Rhinolophus ferrumequinum: one gene and its partner. The protein of the gene in region 1 purifies or fractionates together with the protein of each later gene. This does not show direct contact. Links are inferred from orthologs where the notes say so. Each region holds a gene or a part of one and is shown in the gene's direction. Other genes may lie near its edges.

Region 1 (9,906 bases):
CGGCCTGCCGCGCCCCGCCCCCACGGCCCGGCTCGTACCAGTCGCCACTGCGCCCCGCCCCCGCCCCCGCCCGCAGTGCCCGGATGTGGGTGACGTGCAGCCGCCATCTTCCCGTCCCCGGTAGCCAGCGCCAGTCGGAGCCAGCGCGAGCCGCCATTCTTGCAGCTGCCAAGTCCTGCACCCGCTGCCCCCGCCATGTGAGTCGGTCGCCCTTGCCCGCCTCGGGCTGGCCTGCGCCCGGCTGCCGCCCTGGGGCCGGGGCCCGGGGTTCGGCCCGCGTCCCTCGCTCCCCGAGGCCAGGCCGGCGCCCGTGACTGCGCGCGGGCAGCGGGAGAGCCCCGCCACCCGGGCTGGCCGCGCGGGCGGTGGCCGCCGGAGGAAGTGGACCCGGCGTCCGCCCGCCCCGCCCCTGTCATCGCTGCCGCCGGTCATTTCGGGTCGACCCTGGACCAAGTCTGTGAGGTCGCCCTCATTTGACAGGCGGGGAAACTGAGGCCTGGAGGGGGGAAGGGGCCCCACTCAAGGTCATGCAGCTCTTCGGCGGCGGGGCCAGACGGAATCCAGGGCTCCCATCGGCTGGCTTCCCTCTCGAAAAGGAGGAAGGGAGGGACGGTTGGATGGACAGGCGGATGGGCGGAGTCCTGGCTGCGGGGCCGAAGGCTCCAGGCCCTGGGTCTGAATCCGTCCCTGCCCCTCAGGTCGGCTACCGCTGCCACCGCCCCCCCTGCCGCCCCGGCTGGGGAGGGAGGCCCTCCTGGGCCCCCTCCAAACCTCACCAGTAATAGAAGACTGCAGCAGACCCAGGCCCAGGTGGATGAGGTGAGTGGAGTGGGCTGGGGGGATCCAAAGACGGTGGGAAGGGCACTGAGGGTTGGCAAACCAGTGTTGGGGGGTCCATCTTGGGCTGGGGGTGATGGTAGTTCACGTTTATGAGGTTTGGGACAAAGACATACCATGCCCCATCCCTGTAAGCATGCACTTGTAAGGGCCTTGGAGTGTTAGCTTGCTAGTCCTAGGGTGTTTCAGCCTGGGCAGGTGTGCTCTGGTGACGGGCAGGCTACTTGAAACTGGATAAATAGAGGGTGCTGCTATGACATCTGAGATGTCTGGCTATCAGCATGCCCCTGATGTGTACTTCTTGCATGTCCCCAGGTGTGCTAGGCTTGTTCTGTGTGTGTCCTTGGCATGTTAGCCTGGCGACATCGGGGTGCATGTTCCATATGTGGGCATGGTGGTCGAGGAGTGCCCTCATTGAGGCGGGCCTTGGCATACCCCCTGCCTCGTGGACCCCTCCTCCAGGTGGTGGACATCATGAGGGTGAACGTGGACAAGGTCCTGGAGCGGGACCAGAAACTGTCAGAACTGGACGACCGTGCAGATGCACTCCAGGCGGGGGCCTCCCAGTTTGAAACAAGTGCAGCCAAGCTCAAGCGCAAATACTGGTGGAAAAACCTCAAGGTAATGGTGGAGGCACGTGGGAGGGCAGATAGGAGGACTGGTGGGTGAATGGGGAGTTTGTGGTCGGTCCCCTGACCCCTCTCCTGTCACCCACAGATGATGATCATCTTGGGAGTGATTTGCGCCATCATCCTCATCATCATCATCGGTGAGTAGGGCAGGAATGGCTGGGGCCCTTTCTTTGGAGAGGTTTCCCTATGAGTTCGGGGTTCTGAAGGTCATTAACCTAGTTTTTACTATTCATCAAAAAGCATATATAGCTGCCAGTGGCAGTTCTGATTCATCTAGAGCTCCACACCTTGATTTTGTTCAGCCTGCATTTTGCCTGGTTCTGGGCAATTCTGTTTCGATTTTTGGAAACGAGAGCTAGTGGATCCCCACTACTCCCTTGAGGACTCTTTGGGCCTGAGAACCCTGAAATTGGGGAGTGGGAGAACAGGAAAGGCCCATAGGCTTGATATATGACTAGGAAGCCAACCACCGAATTATTTAAGAGCTTGTGGTCTCAGAGGCCCAGAGGATTTGGGGTCTGTGGCCCTAAGGCCATACCATGGGGTTGAAGAGACCTTGGAACCTCCTGTCCAACCCCTTTGCTTTACAGGGGAGAACCCAAGGCCCAGAGGGGAAGGGATGTCAGTCAGCTGGGGAGTGGGGAGGATGGGAGCAGGGCCAGGCCTGACACACTGCTTTCTCTCTCTTTCTCCCCTCTCCCCCTTCATCCTTCTTTCCCGCTCTACAGTTTACTTCAGCTCTTAAACCCCCGAGGAGCCTGCCCTGCCCAGAGAAGGGCCTCTCCCCCCCATTCCCAGCTGCTCCTCCACCTCTCAGCCATATCTTCCAGCCCCCCATCCGTGTGTGTCTGTGTGTGTGCCCCCCTGTAAATAGCCAGCTGTTATTTATACATATATAATATTATATATATTTGGTCTGTTTGTAGTTTTATTACTAGAAGATTTTTCCGGTTGTCCTTAACACCCCTTCCTGAGGTTCCCGTCCTTCCTCTTTCCCTCCTTCCCGTTCCCTCTTTTCCTTACCAGCCCCAAGTCCCTTCATTTGCATCTGCTATGCAATAGTCCCTCTTCCTCCCTTCTTTCCTTGGACTTAGCTGACCCTTCCTTCCACCCTGGCCTTCCCCATACCCGCACCCCCCCTACAAACAAGACAAAAAGCAATTGTCCAGGCCTCCCTAGGTGCATCGTCTGTGCATCATTTGGGAGGCTCTGAGACTGGCCCCACTTGGTCCTATGAATCCCAAGGTCTGGGAGTTTCCAGCATGTTAACTAGCATTCATTTGCACACTGACATCCCTTTTGGTTTCCTTCTTTTTTGTTCCATCACTCTTTGTTTTTTCAACCCGTCTGTTTTTTGTTTTGTTTTGTTTTGTTTTTTTTTTACTGAGGAGTTAGTCCCCATTGGTCACACTTTCATTTGCATGACATTACTTGTAGGTGGTGGGGAGCCTGGGCTTTTGGGGAACCAGGCTGCTCTGGCCCCCAGAATCATCCCCTCCTAGCCCCGCTAGTCTAGTTTGCCTCCCCTACCCCCATTTTCCAAGCCTCTTGTCCCCTCCTCTCCCTCCCTCCAGCTGGTGTATAAGTGTCTTGGAGTTCAGTGTGTTATGATGGACCAATAATTCTGCCACTTAGAGTTTCTCCCCACATTCCTGATCCCCAGTTTTCATGTGGGGCACTCAACTGACATTCCCATGGGGTCTCCCTCCCATCTGACTGATCTGCCCCTCCTCCTCCCACCAGGAGAGTTGGGGGTTGGCCATAATCTGATATCTTTTGGGAGGTGGCTGCCAGTGTGTGAGGGGTCATCACTGCCTTGGAGAGGAGTGGAGCAGGGCAGAGAATCTCCCCAATTCCTGCCTGAAGTCTCCTCTGGCCCCACCCCTGCTGGGGGTTGGACTGAAAACCCTCCTCAGTTTGGGGGGTGTTGCCTCCTTCACTGCCCAGCTCCTCTGACTGCCCTCGCTGAATTCAGAGCGTGGGTACTAGTCACTGCCAATGTGTGTGCGGGACTTGCTGAAAGATGGGGGTTCTTGCCCCTCTCCATGGTGGTCCAGCCCAGAGAGAGAGCTGTCTCCTCCTTAGGTGAAGTGATAGAGGAAGGGTCTAATGTCTTTTTAAATGGCACAATTTTAGGGGTTTAAGGGTGCAGTCCCTTAAACTGTCACTAGAGGGGACCCCCCCCAAACTCTTTCCCCCACACTCAAGGTGTCTGTGGAGGGGGAACAGGGAGATCTAAGCTGTGGTGTGAAAGGGTAGGGAGAGATGCTGGGGGTGGGGGTGTTGTGCTCTAGACCCCCCCATATTATCCCAGTGTCCCCTGCCCCCCTTCCCTCACCCCATGCCCCCAATTCTGTGGCGCATCCAGATTGTGAAAATGTACAATAAATGTGTAATGAGTAACTAAGTGGTGTCTGTCCTAAGATCTTTTCTTAACCAGTGGGAAGAGTATTGGGTCTGCAGATTTAACAGGAAGGTTGAGGAGATACATTGGGAAGGGACTGAGCTTTTGCTGGAGAGGGCCTGACCTTGGGCAGGATGGATGAAGTGTGATTCCCAAAGTGGCCACGTGGGGGGGGCCCACCAAGAGTAGTTAATGGAAATGTAGCTGATACCTATGTCTCACCCTGGTGAACCCTGAGGTGTAGGCTTCCCAGTTTTCCCTCCCTTCTCCTTTGCCTGGAAGCATGTTATTGCTGTTTGTTGGATCCCTTTTACCCCTTGATTTAACTCCCATACTCTGTGCAGTCGCTCCTGTGGTCATTTATTCTTTTGCCTGAAGTAAATGGCCAACTTTTGTGAAACATCTCTTCCCCTTTGTGCCCGACACAGTGCCAGCTGTGTCCAGGAGGGGTTAATAAATACTTACTGAACAAATTGGCCCAGGAAGACCCAGCTGAGTGTGGTATGGAGCTGGCTATAGATGGCCTGCTACCCCTGCACTCTGTTGTCCTGCTGGTAACTCTAGTCCATGATATATACATCATGCCCCCGATGTGGCACCCTAGCATTCCTGTCCCCAGGTGCTTCAACAATGAGTGTGCTAGGAGAGCTCTGGAGGACACACTTCTCTGGGCTACAGCATTAAGATTCAAGAGTATAAGCAACCTAGACAGTGTTTCCCAAACTTGTGGGCTCCTAAGAACTACCAAAAATGCATTTAAAATTAGATTTTCAGGCCCCTTCCTTGGAGAGTCTGATTTCGCAGAGATGATTCTTATAATTAGGTACACAGTTATAATGTCCACTATTTATTGGAGGTTTACTATAATGTATTCCAGTCAGTGCTCAGAGCTCTTTCTCATTTCATCTACTGAATACTTTCCAGGTTTAGGGTTCTCCTAGGCCTTAGAACCTGGGTTGGCCCCATTACTGACTAGTGTGTTAATCCAGACGGATTATGTAACCTTTCTGGATCTCACTCTCATTTGTGAGGCAGTGGGTAGTAAGTGAGCGGGCCTCCATGTCTGTGAGAAGAGCCTGGCCTGGCCCACAAAAACTCATAGGAGCCTGCTATTATCTTCATCTTCACCCTCACGCGGCACTGAGATCCGAAGACCACTTCACCCGGATGCACCTTCTAACCTGGGGGAGCTTCAGGAACCCAGGATAGAATTTCCAGGGCTGGAGGCGCTCTCGTCACTCCCGTAGGGCTCACCCGGGTCTCAGCATAAACCCCTACCAAAGCCACCGCTGCTGACATCTGCGCATGCTTGTAGGTGACATTCGCTGCGCCTGCGCAGAGTCCGCAGCCTTGGGTAGGAGTGTCGTCAAGGAAAATCCCCAGCTTCTAGGTAAACAAGTTGCCGCGTGAGACCGCCGGCACGTGTCCTGTACAGCTCTGAGACCTCAGCCTATGAGAAAGTTCGGAGGGCTGGGTTGGCGTTTGAGTCACCGATCTAGGCCATTCGGTATGTTGCCACAGCCAATCTGAACTTTGGAAGTGGATGGGGGCGTGGCTTCCTGTCAGTCTTTCAATAACGCGCCCGGACAGCCCCTCCCTCACGTGTGTCTGTCACTGCCGGTTGGCAATCTTGACCAATGAGATGATGGCGGCGGCGGGTGGCGCCAATGGTGGCTCTGCTGCGGCCCGGCGGCCGCACGCGGCGCGGGGCATGGATCGGCGCCCTTAGGCCAATAAGCTTGAGGGGCGTGGCATCCCAGTCGGTGGGCAGGCTCCTGGAGGAAGCGAGTCCAAGTCTCTGTGGTCGTAGTTGAGAAGAGACTGTTCTGCATGCTAGCCGAGCGGTGAGTACTCCGGGCTGGAGGGAGGGGAGCAGGGGTCCGTGTGAGTTTTTCCGGTGGTGTGTTCTGTCTGTAAGAGTGTTAATGGAGTGTGTGTGTGTTGAGGGGTGGAATCCTGCGACTGCGTGATCCCATCGGTGGGAGCCCTAATAGTTGAGGAGTATAGGGACCGAGAACTCAGCTCTATAGGGACTGGGGCGGAAGCCACTGACATCAGATCCCTCACCGCCCTGGGGTACCTGGACTCCTGACTGCCTGGGGGGAGGGGCTTGGAAGACCTCAGCGACCTGAGGGATCTGAGACCCCAGCTACCAAGGAGGTACTGGAACGGAGACCCGGAGAGCGGGTGAAAGACGTTCCAGTGCGTAACTGTTGTTTGGGTATGTGCCTTAAGCACTTGAAAGAGGCACGGGTTCTGAGGCTGGAGGGACGCACTGGTAGGACAGGTTGGGAGGATTCCAAAGGTTTGATGTAGTGATTTGTGTGACTCTGAGCCAGTTACATCACGGCTCTGGAAGTCTTACGTGTAAAGCGGAGGGGTTGGGCCTCGGAGCCATCCTTGGGAGTAAAAGTGTTGGATCCTTAGAGGGAGGCTGGGGTTGTGCAGATTGGCTGTGCACATGTCTTCCTGAGCCCCTGGAGGTGAGGAGGAACCAACAGGGTGCTCAAACACCCAGGCAGGTGGTAAACGGACCTGGTGTAGGGTGGGAGAGTGAAGAAGTGGAGTTCCTAGGGCTGGTAGCTGCTAGGATGATCTCAAAGATTTCGAAAGCATGTGAAAGCTGGGGCTATGATGATTCAAAGTGTGTGGGGAGTACACACTGAATATCGCAAAGGAAAGGAGGGATGAGATGGAGTCTGTTCCAGGTACCAAACTCAGAATCAGCTAGATATTTGAGAGGTAGAGGTTCCCCAGTGCTGGGTAACACCTCACAGGTTCCAGAAGGCTAAAAAGCCAGAATGACAACCCATCATAAAAGCTCAGATTTGAACCCTGGGTTCTATTTGTTTAAGAGCCTGAGAACGTATTATAAGACAATTTAGTGAAGTGTAGTAATTTATCAGCCTTAGTCCTTGTAGAATGGGGATAATAATACCCATCTCACAGGGTTGTTCTGGTGGTTAAATAAGAGAATGTATATAAATTACTTAGCACAATGCCTGGGTCATGTTTTAAAAATTATTTAGCTAAAAAATGCCTGTAGGATGACAGAACAACAGTGATAGGGCAAGAGATTTATGTGAATGCTTTGGTTGGGAACTATTCTCACATTCTCCGGTTTTTCTGCCAAGTTTTGGTGACTCCCTCCCCATTTCCTTTTTCCTGGTTCTGGTCTTCCGGCACCATCCCCAAACCCTCATTCCACCCTTTTATCCCTCTCCCCAGGATCCAGGCCCCAGCCTGGGCCATTTGCTCTGTCCCGGTATGATTTCTTCATCCTAGACCATTCTCCCTACTCCTCCTCCCTCTCTCTGCTGCCATAGTAACAAGAGATTCAGGCTCTGAAGGGGGCCTCTCTAAAGGAGCAAAGGTGCGTGTTCTCTTACAGAACCTGGGCCTCCAACTTCCCCGCCCTGTCTCTTTGGGATCGGGCCAGCAAATGTGTACAATTTGGGAGAGGGGAAAAGCCATTGCCAGGAGCTGTAGAAACAAGCCGAGGGGAGGGCGGATGCGAGTCTGGAGAAGAGAGTCAGGCATAGGGCGGGGGAGGGGGACCCCTTCTAATCCTCTCTCCAGGAATCCCTGGCGTTGAGACAGGACGGCTGTCGTTGGGTTGGGGGTGGCGCCCAGCCTGGGTGCATGTCCTGGGCCACCGGCCAAGAGAACATGATGTTCCTAAGTGCGCTGGCTGCCGCCCTCTTAGGCTGGCCACCTCCCAAACCGCTGTCTCTCCAACCTCCCTGCCCCACATTCCCCGGCGGCTTCGCCCCGCCCCCTTCCTGCGCTTTGACGTCACCGCTGTCTCCCGCCCCCTCTCCTCCATTGACGGCAGCAGGGCCTGGTTACTGTGGGGACGGTGAGGCAGGACAACCAGAGCCCTGGGAGCGGGTGAGGGCTGCTGGAGCGCTGGGCCCTTTTGTCCATGCAAGAAATAAATAAGGCGGTGGAGGTGGGAGAGCAAGGACTGCCTGTGTCCGGGGAGATCACATCTAAATCCCTGAGGAGAGCAGGGGAGGAACAAAAATGATGTTTCCAGAGAAGAGGTGTCTGAAAATGAGACAAGGGACGGGACCACAGTATGTGAGTTGGGGGTATATTTTCAGGGAGAGGAGACTGAAAATCCGGGCTCCTGAATCCTTTGTTTCCTGTTTTCTTGCTTTGGTTTTTCTAGGTTATTTTACAACCCCACCCACCCCCAGCTTTTCCATAGAGCCTTCTCCCTGGCCCTCCACCGGGAAACACCATTGTTAAGGAAAGCATAGGCCACGTGACAATGAAGGGAGTGCACCCACAGCAGATTATGTCAGCATGAGCTTGGGGGCCTCTTCACTTGCCACCCACATCTCCAGGGTGCCCTGGAAGGAACTGCTCATCACAGCCCTGGATGGAGAAGTCTGTGTAACTGCAGCTCCCCTGGGCCCAGCCTAGCATTTTGTCCCCCATATCAGGCCCCTGTTCTTTTTTTAGGACTCAATATTCTGCTCCTCCTTTTTTAAAAAAGGCTATAATTTCCGGCCCCTTCTCCATTGCTGAAGCCCCTTTCTCTCCCCTATCTATCCTTGTTAAGGACGAAAATCACCGTTTTTATTAATCACCTACCATGTGTCAGGTTCTGTCCTGGGGGCTGGGGAATAGTGAAGGAGACAGATGATGTCCTTGGGTTTCTCTTTTCCTAGTGGTGGGTATCTGAAGCCCTTGCCATCCCACCTTTCTCTGTCTAGGGTCCCAGTTGGTCTTTTCTCTCAGCCACCCCCTTTGTTCCCCTGTAGCCCTGGTTCCTTAGCCCCCACCTCCGACTTTGGGGGTAGCCTTAACTGGGTGGCTGCATCCTTTGGAGAGGAGCACTAGTCACCACCACCCACCCACCCCCCTGCCCGGAGACCTTTTCTCTGATTGAACACAGAAGCACCTGCTTGTTTCCCTTCACAGCCCCCACTGGCTCATTACTGTCCCTTCTATTGTTTGTCTCCTCCCCCCAACTCCATCACACGTAGGCCCTCAATTGCCCTCCTTCTAGCTGTTAACAGGATTTGAAGTGACAGAGGAAGGGGCCGGGTAAAAGGGCTTTATTATGATGACAAGTTTGAGGCAGAGAACCCAGTAAAGGCCAGGCCAGTTTTCTGTCTGTCCCCCTCCTCCCAAGGACTAGCCATTATTATCCAGCTTGGTTCATCTTTCACGGTCTGCATTTTTTTGCCCCACCCCTAGGAAGGCCAAGGTGTCCTGTTCTGCAAGGCTGGTCAGTTCAGGAAGTAGACATCTCTTAGGCACCTACTGTGGCCCGGGCATTTTCCCGGAAGAAGGGCAGCTTACCTCCCCTTTTTTCCCCTCCCCTCCCTTTCAGTATTTACTGTACAAGGCGTCCTGCGCCCATTGGCTGGGCGGTGGTGTCTGGGGCCCTTCAGCTCAGTGCCAGCACCCAGATCCACGTGCACCCGTGTGTGTGACACAGCCCTGACCTCAGTGGGGGCCAGTAGCCAATCAGGCGCCAGGACGAGATCCCCAGCCAATCGGGGGCGGGGCCTGTGGCTCCGCCGGCGGGAGGCCAATGAGGGGCAGTGCCTGGCATTATGCAACTCGCCTCCTGTCCCTGCGGAGCTTCCACTCCTTTGCAGGCTGCAACAGCGACAGGCAGGCGGCCGGAGGGCCCTCGCGCTGACAGGTAGGCGTCTCCGTGGCCACCCGGAGACCGGTCACCGGCCCCGAGCCGGACAGCCCCACTTCTAACCTTAGGTGCCGCTTTCGGCCCGGGCGCTCAGACGGCACACCAATAATTCTTTTTCCTCGCGGCTGTCCATTCCCTCTCTGCCCGCCGGGGCCCAGGTGTTCCTTGCAACCCTGCACCCGGTGTCTGCATTCCTGACCCGCTTACCTTACCTCCCACTTTGCTTTCTGTTCCCAGCTCTCCTGGCCTCACACCCGACCTTCAGCAGTCATGCCCCCTGCCGCCTTTCTTGTCACTCGGGGGGGGTCCCCGCTTTTGCTCCGGTACCGGGACCCCACCAGGCTCTCCGCGCTCCCGGCGCTCCC
Region 2 (10,627 bases), about 44 Mb from region 1:
TCTATTTTTATACTTTGTGTTTTAATCCAACACTTATTTCTTTTGTTCCAATTGTTGCAGCTTGAGCCACCGGGGGAGCCCTAGTTGCAGATTGTTGTTTGGTAGAGTTTTTGAGCACGTCTTTACTTTCTTGCTGTGTGAATCAGCCAGGGATGCCACAGCAAAGCATCACGGACTGGGTGGCTTAAACAATGGACATTTACTCCTCAAAGTTCTGGAGGCTGGACGTCCAAGGTCAAGGCACCGACCAGTATGCCTCTCTCAATGGCCTGTAGACAGCGCCTCCTCCCTGTGTCCTCATACGGCCTGTCCTCTACGCTCACTCCTGATGTCTCCTAAGGACACCAGTTCCCTAGGATCAGGGCCCCACCCTTATGACCTCATTTAACCTTAATTACTTCCTTAAAGGCACCCCCATCTCCAAACACAGTCACATTGAGGTTAGGGCTCCACCTATGAAGTTGTTTAAATTCTCTGCCCTGTCCTCAAATCCACCATTTCCCCAGGTAGCCCTGGTTCCTTGGAGACTGGTGTGAGTGACCAAACGAGAGATGGTGCTGGGTGTGCTTGTTTCTACTTTGAGCCGCTGCTTCTCAGCTGTACACACACACGTGTGTCTACAATTTTTCATGAGTGGCCATATTAAGCATGAGTTGCTACTGATGCCTCTAACCTGTTACCTCATGGATCATTCCAGCCTTTTTCCTTTGCTCACCTGTAAACTCCCACTCCAACAGTGAGAAACCCACTACCCGTGTATTCAGTGGTTCAGTTCCAGTGTTCACGTCCGTGGTGTCACAATCATTAGTGCGTACCCCGTGGGAAACGTCACCAACCTGGGTAGGTCTATGGGGGGGTTCCCTTTGCTTTCAGTGTCACAGACCCCACTCCCTTCCAGCGTGACCTGGGTTAGCACCCACTCTCCGCTCAGGGAGTAGCTTTCATGTTCTTTTGTCATTCCAGCCTCAGACCCCCAGTTCCCAAGTAATACTTTTACATTTGCATTTATTTGATTTATTTATTCTTTATAATTTGCATGATTAAATCCATGAAGGCTCATTCTTTCTGCTGTACAGTCTGTGGATTTTAACAAATATGTAGTTTCATGAGTCCAGCATTGCAGCCCCACACAGCGTCTCCCGGCCCAAACACCCCCCTACACCCCAGCACCACTGCTCTCCTCACTGCCTCCACAGTTTTGCTTGGTCCAGTTTAGCATGTAAAGGGAATCATACACATGTAGCCGTTACATGCTGGCTTCCTTCACTTAGCAATATGCACTTAATTCATCTGTGCCTTTTGTGGCTTGATAGTTGACTGCTTTAGTGCTGAATAATAGCCAGATGTCTGAATGTTTCGGTTGGTTTATCCATTCATCTACTGAAGGATATCTTGGTTACATCCAGTTTGGGGCAATTATGAACTAACCTGCCATAAATATTCTCAGGAAGGTTTTTGTGTGGGTGCAGGTTTATAACTCAGTTGGGTAAATACTCCAGGTTGCTATAACAAAATACCATAGACTGGGTGACTGCAGTAACAGCCATTTATCTTTCAAGGTCCTGGAAATGAAATCCAAGATCACGGAGCCAGCAGCCCTGGTGTGTGTTGGGAGGGCCGCTTCCTGACTGTCCTCGTGTGGCAGGGGGCTCGCTCTCAGGCCTCTTCTTATAAGGGCACTAATGCCATCGCCACTGCCAAAGGCCGCACCTCCTAACCCCATCACAGTGCTGGCCTGCACAGCACTGCCCGCCCCCCACTCCCAGGCCTGTGGGTGAGCCCCATTGGAGAGCATCCCAAACTTGCCCTGACTTGACCCCGGAACCCTCAACTCCTGCATCAGCGCCAGGACGCCCCTCCAGAGGCCTCCTGACAGAACATGCTTGGGGTTGACCAGGGCTGGGTCACTCGACCCAGAGTCAGGCTCAGCGAGGCCTCCATCCAGTGGGCAGAGCAGCAATCAGGCACTGGGCTCGTTCTAGGGCGGGGTCTCCACCCTGTGCACTGCATCCCTGACCTCCAGGTCTGATGTGCCAGCAATCCCCCGATTGTGACAATGGGACACTGCCACATGTCGCCCCACCCCCACCCCAGCTGAGAGCCCTGGTCCCAGCGGCCCAAGCGAGCTTTCTGGGGACGATGGAAATGCTCTGAGCTGTGCTGTCCGATCCCCGTGCCACTGAGCATTTGGACCATGGCTACCAAGGCTGAGGAACTGGATTTTTACTTTTAGTTCATTTTAATTAATTTAATAGCCATGTGTGGCTAGTGGCTGCCTCTAGAGCAAACACTTGTCAGCGCTAGAATCCTAGCCAACCCTGACACCCCCCTTCATGAGGCCTGTCATGCGGGGTCTCAGCTCCCACTCCCCACAGAAGAACACAGGACATGGTGAGGCCAAAAAGGAACACCCACGGAGCCATGGATGGGGGTTCACACCACTATAGTCTCGCTGGCGGCTGGGTTGGAGACACAGGAAGCAGGAGCCACACGATCCACAACCCGCCATCCGCTTCTCTGCCAACCCCCCAACCCCCCAACGCAGCCCCGGCACTTATATCAGTGGCTAAGGGCTAACCGGTAACAGCTGATGGCCACCCAGCCACAGCGGACGGCCATCTACTACCTGAGCCAGCACCTTTCCACGTGAGGCCGAGAGCCTGGAAACTGCTCCTTGGGACTCTGTCCCCGAAAGGCCTCTGTCAGCCTTGCCTGTGCTCTGGCTGCTGCTGGGAAGTTGCTTGTGAGCCTCTGCGCGCCCTCCCTGTGAGCCCCCTCCCCCAGACCAAGGTAATTCCTCCTTCAGATCTCAGGGACGGTCACCTCCCTATGGAAGCTGCTGGAAGCTGCGAACTACAGCCTGGTTCCCGCGTGTGGTGTGGCCTGCAACCCGTCTGGTCCTCCATAGTCCTGGCCCAGTTGGCAATCACTATTCCCTTTGTGATGGTTGGCTTCCCTAGGCCGGAACTCCGTGGGCAGGTGTTCATTAAATGGGGATAATCGTTAGTGCTGGTCCCGTCGGGCATCGGCATCGGCCTGCGGGTGAGGAGTGGGCACAGGTCCTGCCTCGCCGGGGGGTCTTAGTAGGAAGCCACTGTCCAGTCGGCACCATCAGCTGCTCTGGTGGCAAACATCACTGCTGCTGCCTGCGTGACGGCTCCTTTTCCAAGTAAACAGTAGTTATATAAACAGCTAATATTTATACAGCAGTTGTTTCCAGGCCCTGTTCTGAACTGTGCCCGTGGTAACCCTCTCACCCTTCTCCACAGCTCTAGGGTTCGATGATGTTATTCCTATTTCACAGATGAGAGCACAGAGGCACAGAGAGGTTGAGTTACCAGCACAAGGGTGCAGAGCTGGAGGCAGAGCGGGAACTGAAACTTGGGCACCTGACCTCCACCCCAGCCCAGACTCTCAGTCACTGCCTTTAAAGGTAGTGGCTCCTCCCCTCCTGTTCAGTCCAGGCTGGGCTGTCTCCATTGTAGCAACCATGGGGCTGGGAAGACCGGGAAGTTAGCTGAACAAAGGTGTGTGTGTCTGTGGGAGGAGAGGGGGAAACACATTACAGGTGCAGCATTTGCAGGGGCCCTGAGCAGAGACATTGACGCATTCAGGGAACTGTTATCATTCCTGTGGGATGGTGAGGACCCTCCAAAATCTTAGCACGGAAGCTGGGTTCAGTCCCCAGAGGCTGACCCATGCTTTTTTTTCAATTCAGATAAAATTAACATAAAATTCACCATTTTAACTGTTTGAAAGTGTACAGGTCAGTGGCTTTGTGTCCATTCATGATGTTGTATACTTGTCTGCTCCCTAGTTCTGAAATGCGCTGGTCCTCCCCAAAGAGGATCCCCAGGCCCACCAGCAGTCTCCCCCCAGCCCGCTCCCCAGCCCTAATCCGCTTCCTGGTCTGTGGATTTGTCCGTTCTGGACACTTCATGTAAACAGAATCATACAGCATGTTGCCCCTTGAACCCGGCTTCTTCAGTGTTTCAGGGTCCATCCACATTGTAGCAGGTGTCAGAGCTTCTTTCTTTACATGGTTGTGTGATAATTACTCCACATAGGATAAACTACATAGGGTTTATCCATTCATTCATTATGGATATATGGGCTGTAAAAAGTTGCTTACATGTGATAAATAAAACAACGCTGCTCTGAACATTTGTGCATACATTTCTCTGTGGACAGATATCTTCAGTTCTCTTGGGTACCGACCTGGGAGTGGAGCTTCTGGGTCACATGGTAACTCTGCCTTTATCTCTTGAGGAACCCCACACTGGCTTCCAAAGTGGCTGCATTGTTTTACATTCCCTCCAGGAGTACGAAGGTTCGACTTGGGTCGGTTTTAAGCAGGCAGGGCTTGCATGGGATGTGAGCTCTAGAACCATCTTTATAGCCATGCTGTGGACAGCAGCCTGTGGACAGTAGGCTGGGAGGCAGTGAGACCTGTCATTGGGGACGAGCTCTGATCAGACAATGTAGTTTAACTTCTTGTTGAAGTCATGGGGAGTCACAAGATGTTCTGGAGAGCTCATGTTACTGATTACGTGTTGGCTGATTATCCTGACCAAGTTTGTGAATAAACAGGTGAAGCAGGCAGAAACCTGGGGCCTGGGGTGGTCCAAAGAGCTGCCACTTCTTTCTGAGACAGGACACTGAGGCCCCAGGAGGGGACTGCAGGCCATCAATCAGCCGGGGCAGCTCAGGGAGTGGTCCATTATGTCCAGGGAGCGGGCTCCAGGCCCCTTTCTGGTTCCAGTTTGCACTTGTGGCTTTCTCCGGTGGGTGAAGCAGGCACTGCCCATCATCAGTTCTGCCACCATGGCTATTTTACTAGTTTGTCAAAACCCACCCCCAGCCCTAAGACTGAAAAACTGGGCAACCACTGGGCAGGGACGGAGCCATTCCCGATTGCCCACCAGTCCACCACGGACTGATTGCTCAGGAATTGATGCCGGCCTCACCAACCGGACCTCCAAACATTTTCCGACAAAGGCTGCTCTCCTGAGGCTGCCTGTGCCACAGGAAGGGCCTGGTTCTGACCATCTGCTCCGGCTACTCTAGCCCACACCTCTGTGCACACGGGAGTGTGTTTGCTAGATGTCCAAACATATATGTTAACAGCCTGTTTCACCGTTGCCACTTTAGCCGGGGTTGAGGATAGGCCTAGAGACGTGTCCATATGGAAGCCCTTTCTTCTCAATTTGGCGGCCTTTCCCAGACTCCCTTCCCAGTGACTGGAGTGGAGTCCAGATCAGCCTGAACTTCAACGTTCCAGCTTTCTTTTGCAAGGAAGAACTTTCAGACCGCACACAGATTAGATAACAATGCTGACTAAGTCTCCAGGCGGATGGGCCTGGAGAGGCGGACTGTCCGGGCCTCACCCTTTGAAGCCCTGGTAGCTTCACCTTCACCTTCACCCTTCAGGCCTGACGCCAGACCCGAGGACGTGTCTCTCCGTCCTTCCGCCCTAGGTTTGAGTGTGTAGGACGGGACGTCAGGGGCAGTGGCAGGCCGTGCTGCAAGCCCTGGACTGCACAGTAGCTAAGTCCCGAGCTGCCAAAAGGGCCGTGCACACCTCTGTCCCCTGTGACCCGGCCAGTGTCACTCCCTCCCGGCGCCGACCCAGGGCGGAAGGCCCTCCTCCTTTTGAGTGCGAGGGCGCTGCCTGCGGGCCTGTCCCGGGTCTGTCGCCAGGAGCCGCTGGCTTCCCAGACACCCGCGGGGGCAAACGTGGAGGCTGCACACGGGAAGCGGCCGGGTGGGAGCTGCAGACCTGCGACGGGGACTTCGGGCCACAGAGAATAAGGGGCTGGCCCCGGCGTCGGTGGTTCGCAAGGACGCCGGAGCCCGCTCGCCCCGCCCCCTGGGCAGCGCAGCCCCGCCCCCGGCAGCGCGGCCCCGCCCGCCGGGTTGCTAAGGGAAGTGACGTCACAGCGCGATGGCGGCGGCTCCTTCAGGCAGCTGAAGGGGGATTTAGGCCCGGAATATCCGAGTCCATCCGCGACGGGGAGAGGGCGAGCGGGGCCGGAGGGGGCCGGAGCAGGGGCGGCGGCGCTCGGACTGTCCCATCCGCCCCTTATTGAGGCGCTGGGAACGGCGGGGCGGCCGGAAAGCGATGGTGAAAGCGGGGCCGTGAGGGGGGCGGAGCCGGCAGCCGGACCCGCAGTAGCGGCAGCAGCGGCGCCGCCTCCCCGAGCTCAGACCCAGGAAGCGGCCGGGAGGGTAGGAGCGAGCCGGGCCCGCCGCCGCCGCCATGGAGCTCAGAGTCGGGAACAGGTACCGGCTGGGCCGGAAGATCGGCAGCGGCTCCTTCGGAGACATCTACCTTGGTGAGGCGCCCCTCCCCCGGGCCGGGGCCGCCCCCAGCCCGGCGCCCGCCCGGGACCCCGCCCCCGGCCGCTGACCCCGGCCCCGCCCCGGGACCCGCTCCTGTCGGGACCCCGCGGCTTCCAGGGGACCCTGTGGCCTTCCCGAGCCGCGGCCCGCGCCGCCCGGCCCGAGGGCACCTGCCCCAACGTGCGCCCGGCGCCGCCACCGGGCAGTGGCCGGGCCGCGGCCCGAGGCCCCCGCTGCCCCCGCTGCCCGGCGTCGGCGCCGGTGACCCGCAGACGGACAAACGCCGTCGGGCGGTGTGCGGCCCCCGCGTCCTGCGCGCGTGCGGTGGGCTGGGCGGGGCGGGGCGGGCGGGACCGGCCGGGCGAGGCTCCCGCGCCCCTCGGTGCCCTTCGCGACCAGGCAGCCCCGGCTGAGCGGCCCCGGCGGGCGTCGGCCGGGCGAGCGGTGCCGCGGACGTGTTGCGCATCCGAGCCCCGACTGGGCGCCGGTTAAAGAGGAGACGTTGACGGGGCTGGAGACCCGGTCCGCGCGGACGCGACCCGCTGTCCCTCCGCGCTTGTCCCTTGGGCTGTGAAATTGTCAATATAGATTTGAGAGCCGTGTTAGTGTTCGAATGTTCTGGGTTGGCTTAGGTTTCCCTCGAAAGGACGCGCACGTGCACGTGTGGAATAAGAGGAGGCTCGAATCCCACAGTTGGACGTTTAGAAAGAAGGTGTCTGCGTTTCTCGGGAATCGCCCGTCAGTTATGCCCCCACCCCCGGATTGGGACCGTCCAGCCCGGCTCGCGACCGCGACCGGTGTGCAGAGGGACCACCCTGGCACGTTGGGGATTCACAGGCCCCGCGGTGGGCAGCCCGCTCTGCTGTTTCCCTCTGGTCGCTGTGCCTGTCAGGGAGGGTCGGGAGTACTTCCCTTGTCGGTATTTCTGGTGGTGCCTGCACCTGAGCCCAGGTGTGTGCGCTCACCGCACGCACGTCCTTCTGTCTTGTCACCTGGAGAGGACGCAGGGCCTTCAGAGGGGCCCACACGTGCGCTGGGGAAGTTCATCACTGCTTCTGGTGCCTCGGTGCCCTGCAGAGTACCCCCGTCACATGCCACATTTGTGCCTACTGTCCTGCTGAGTAAAATACACTTTGGAGACACTGGGATTCTTCTATTTAAATATTTATATGCAGTAGTCAGCCGAATGCGTTCTCAGCAGCGTTTTGGGCCGGGTAAGTGCAAGCTGTTTGCCTTATTTATAGAACAATAGATTTTGGCAAAAGTTTTAACTTACGATCTAGGAGCTGTGCTGAAAAGCCAGTCCGTTAGTCACCCTTGCACAGGCATCAGAAAGTAGATGCCTTGAAATTTTTTGTCCTCTGGTCAGACTTCCCAGACAGCTCTGTGCTTTCCGAAGCTGGGTTTGGACGATTGCATTGTGGACCAGTTGTCACCAGGTCAGTCACACGATGTAAACTGTCTCATCGGGAGTGGGAGCTCGGTGGGGACCCACCTGCCCGTTCACCACGGCGTCCTTTGGGCCTCAGCCATGTGGGCGCACCTGCTACAGGTCCAGTTGACCGGGCCCGAGGGGTCTGTCCTCGGTCTCTGTCCCTGTGCTCTAAGATGGATGGACGGTGGCTCTCACGCCCTCCTGAGCACCCACACAGCCCACCGTCGGGGTGCACGTGGAGGTATTGTATGGGACGGAGCATAACCAGGCGTCTTCCCTCAGCATTGGCTCTTGGCCCACATGGGGGTCCTTTCAGGCTGCAAGTTACCCACTGAAAATGTGAAGTGACCTTGCTAGTTTGAGATGTGGCTGGAAAAGGTGGGTCTGAGGCAGCTCACTGTGTACTGTAGTTAAGGGTCAAAGATGACAGGTCCAAAGAGCAGGGGATGGATTGCGTTATTTGTACTGTAGTTTTTTCCTGTTTGTTTAGGCCTCTAATTAGGCATCACTTAAGGAATTGAGTCCTCCTCGTGGGAATCGGTATGTTCGTGGAGGGAAGGCTGGCCTCCAGCTTGCTGCGCGCCTCGTGGATCAGGAAGGCCCAGTGCTGGCCTGTCTCCTGGTGTCCTGCAGGCTGACTCGGGCATGCAGCACTGGGCCCTGCCAGGTCACTCCAATCGTTCCCCAAATTGCCCCTTCAAAGGGGGGCAGTATCTCGGGTCTGATTCTCCCATGCATGGGCTTCAGAAAGTACTTGGACTGGGGCCACCGTGGACCCCAAAACGTATAGTCTTGAACCTCAGTCTGCCTCCCCCTAAGCTTGACCGGTCCTGAAGGCTCCTGGGCAGGGCTGGATGGGGAGGCCTCAGTGCTCACGTCCTGTGTGCATGCGTGCAGCACACACTTAGGCAGAAGGAATTGCAGGTGGGCGTGAGGCGAAGCTTCTCACTCTCCGGCCTCCCTCAGCTTGAGCTTCCCGCAAGCTTTAGCCCCTGGTGGCTGGAGGTGAGGTGTCTTGCAAAAGGCAGTGGGTCCCCGAAGTCGTTTCGCTTTGGTGGCAGTGTGCGTCTCATACGTTTGATAATGTTCAAAAACCAAGGGAGAGCCAGTGTTCTTAACGTGGACCCGTGTTCCAAACCCCAGTGTGACTAGGAAGCTGGGGTGTGCGGGAGCCCAGGCTGTGTGGCAGTGCCGTGGTCAGCGTAGGGGCTATTCTGAAGTGCAGCCAGGTTCAAGGGGTGCCTGTGAGGAGCTGAGGTCTGAGGGGCAGTGTGCGCCTCCCCCCCCCCCCCCCCCCCCCCGTTCTCACGGAGCTCTATTCTCGTCTGTGTCTGTCGGCTGGGTCTTTGGACCCCCTCATTCCTGATTGCTCAGAATGGAGGTTTTCTTCCTGCCAGCTGTTGGCATTTGTACTTGATCCTGACGCTCCTTCAGTTTATCAGACGACAGCCTTGCCTGTCTGCCTGTCCCCGGGGTAGACCGTGGTCTTTCTTCATAATGTGCACATTCCCCTTTTCTGGGAGCTAAAGCTTAGAAACCCCTTCATACCTGATTGTCATGGTTTCCCCTCGCCAACTGTCATTGCTCTTCAGTGGCACCCAGCGGGGTGTCGGACACACAGTAGGGGTTTCAAAGTGCTGGCTGGCTGGCCAGCTGGCTGATCAGGAGGGGAAAGCAATCACCTACACTCACTGCAGTCTGGTCACCTGCCTGCGTTCTTTAGGGTGGTGGCTTAAGCTGAGAGGTCATGACACTGGTCAGCTGCCCTGTCAACAGTTGTCCTGAAGGTGGCCTTTGCCCTGCTGCTGTGAGGCCTTTCCCTGTTTCTTTGTGGTTGTCACTCCTCAGTGGGAGTTCCCTCCCTGTCCCAGGGTCAGGCTTGGGGTTAGGGTCAGTGGCTTTACCATCTGCCTTGTCTGTCAATTGAAAACATAGTTTGTTTTCCTAGGACCAGCACTGACTTCTATCTGAAATGGGCTCCCACCTGCCTCTGGAGGGAACTCCTGTCTGCCTGGGGCTCCGAGCTGCTCACAAGTTGAGGTTGTTGGGGAGATGGAACACCTTAGTGTAAACAGACACTGAAGAAATGCTTACGTGCCCCTTGGTTTTGACTGGTTCTGAATCCGGAACCAGAGCTCAGCTGATACCTTTTAAATCCTCGTTCCCCATTTCCCAGTACTTGTAAAGGTTACTGTGCTGAAGCACCAGGTGCTGTAAGTCCCAATTTGTCGCAGACGAATCCTTTTGCAAAATAAGATGGACGTGTCGCAGCAGTGTCACGTTGCTCTCAGAGCTCCTTGGTGCTTCCTCGCTGTCCTGTGTGTGTCCCCTCCTGGACTGGTGGCAGTTTGGGGACCAAGAGCAACACTGTCTGTGGACCGCGGGGCCACTGTCAGCAGTGGGAGTGGGACAGGGCTGCGGGGCTGCAGACTGGTGAGCCTCAGGTTTGCTCAGTGGCCCCTGAACGCACAGAACCTGAGGCTGCTCAGTCCGTGTGCCCAGTGGGCGAGGCCTCCCAGACGAAGCAGCCCAGTGTGCTGCTCTCGTGTTCGTGTGGCAGAGCCCAGGTCCAGCGCCATCTGGAGTCGTCAGACTCAGGGTGACCTTCGTGTGTGTCATCCTGGGGGCAGGCTGGCCCCACACTAACCGCAGAAGGAAGGATTTCGTGTTGTGCTCCGGAGTTGTCTGTGGTCACTTGCCCCGCAGACTGTGAGTTTTGCAGGGGTAACTGTTCTGTGTTAGCTTTATCAGCCACAGTGGGCTGCAGCCGAGATGTCCCCCGCCTTCTCGAAGGTGCTAGCCCAGGCTGTTGTTTCACTGAGGACCTGAGTCCTGGCTCGCGAGGGTGAC

What was found. The genes of interacting proteins can lie anywhere in the genome.
Region 2: the proteins of PER1 (region 1) and CSNK1D purify together in Homo sapiens (affinity purification with mass spectrometry; 4 studies listed by BioGRID and IntAct, counting the BioPlex papers as one, with this or other methods). This does not show direct contact. The link is inferred for Rhinolophus ferrumequinum from reciprocal best matches to the Homo sapiens genes PER1 and CSNK1D.

The regions. Positions count from the first base shown.
Region 1 is NC_046304.1:10,831,255-10,841,160, forward strand, and holds the start of PER1 (period circadian protein homolog 1), read left to right. Parts: upstream 1-5,579; 5' UTR 5,580-5,717; intron 5,718-8,844; exon of another isoform or gene 8,845-9,538; intron 9,539-9,906. Other genes in the region: VAMP2 (vesicle-associated membrane protein 2), read left to right, coding at 196-197, 699-819, 1,300-1,458, 1,555-1,606, 2,198-2,214. UniProt on the Homo sapiens protein: Transcriptional repressor which forms a core component of the circadian clock.
Region 2 is NC_046304.1:54,975,807-54,986,433, reverse strand, and holds the start of CSNK1D (casein kinase I), read left to right. Parts: upstream 1-5,941; 5' UTR 5,942-6,259; coding exon 6,260-6,335; intron 6,336-10,627. UniProt on the Homo sapiens protein: Essential serine/threonine-protein kinase that regulates diverse cellular growth and survival processes including Wnt signaling, DNA repair and circadian rhythms. It can phosphorylate a large number of proteins.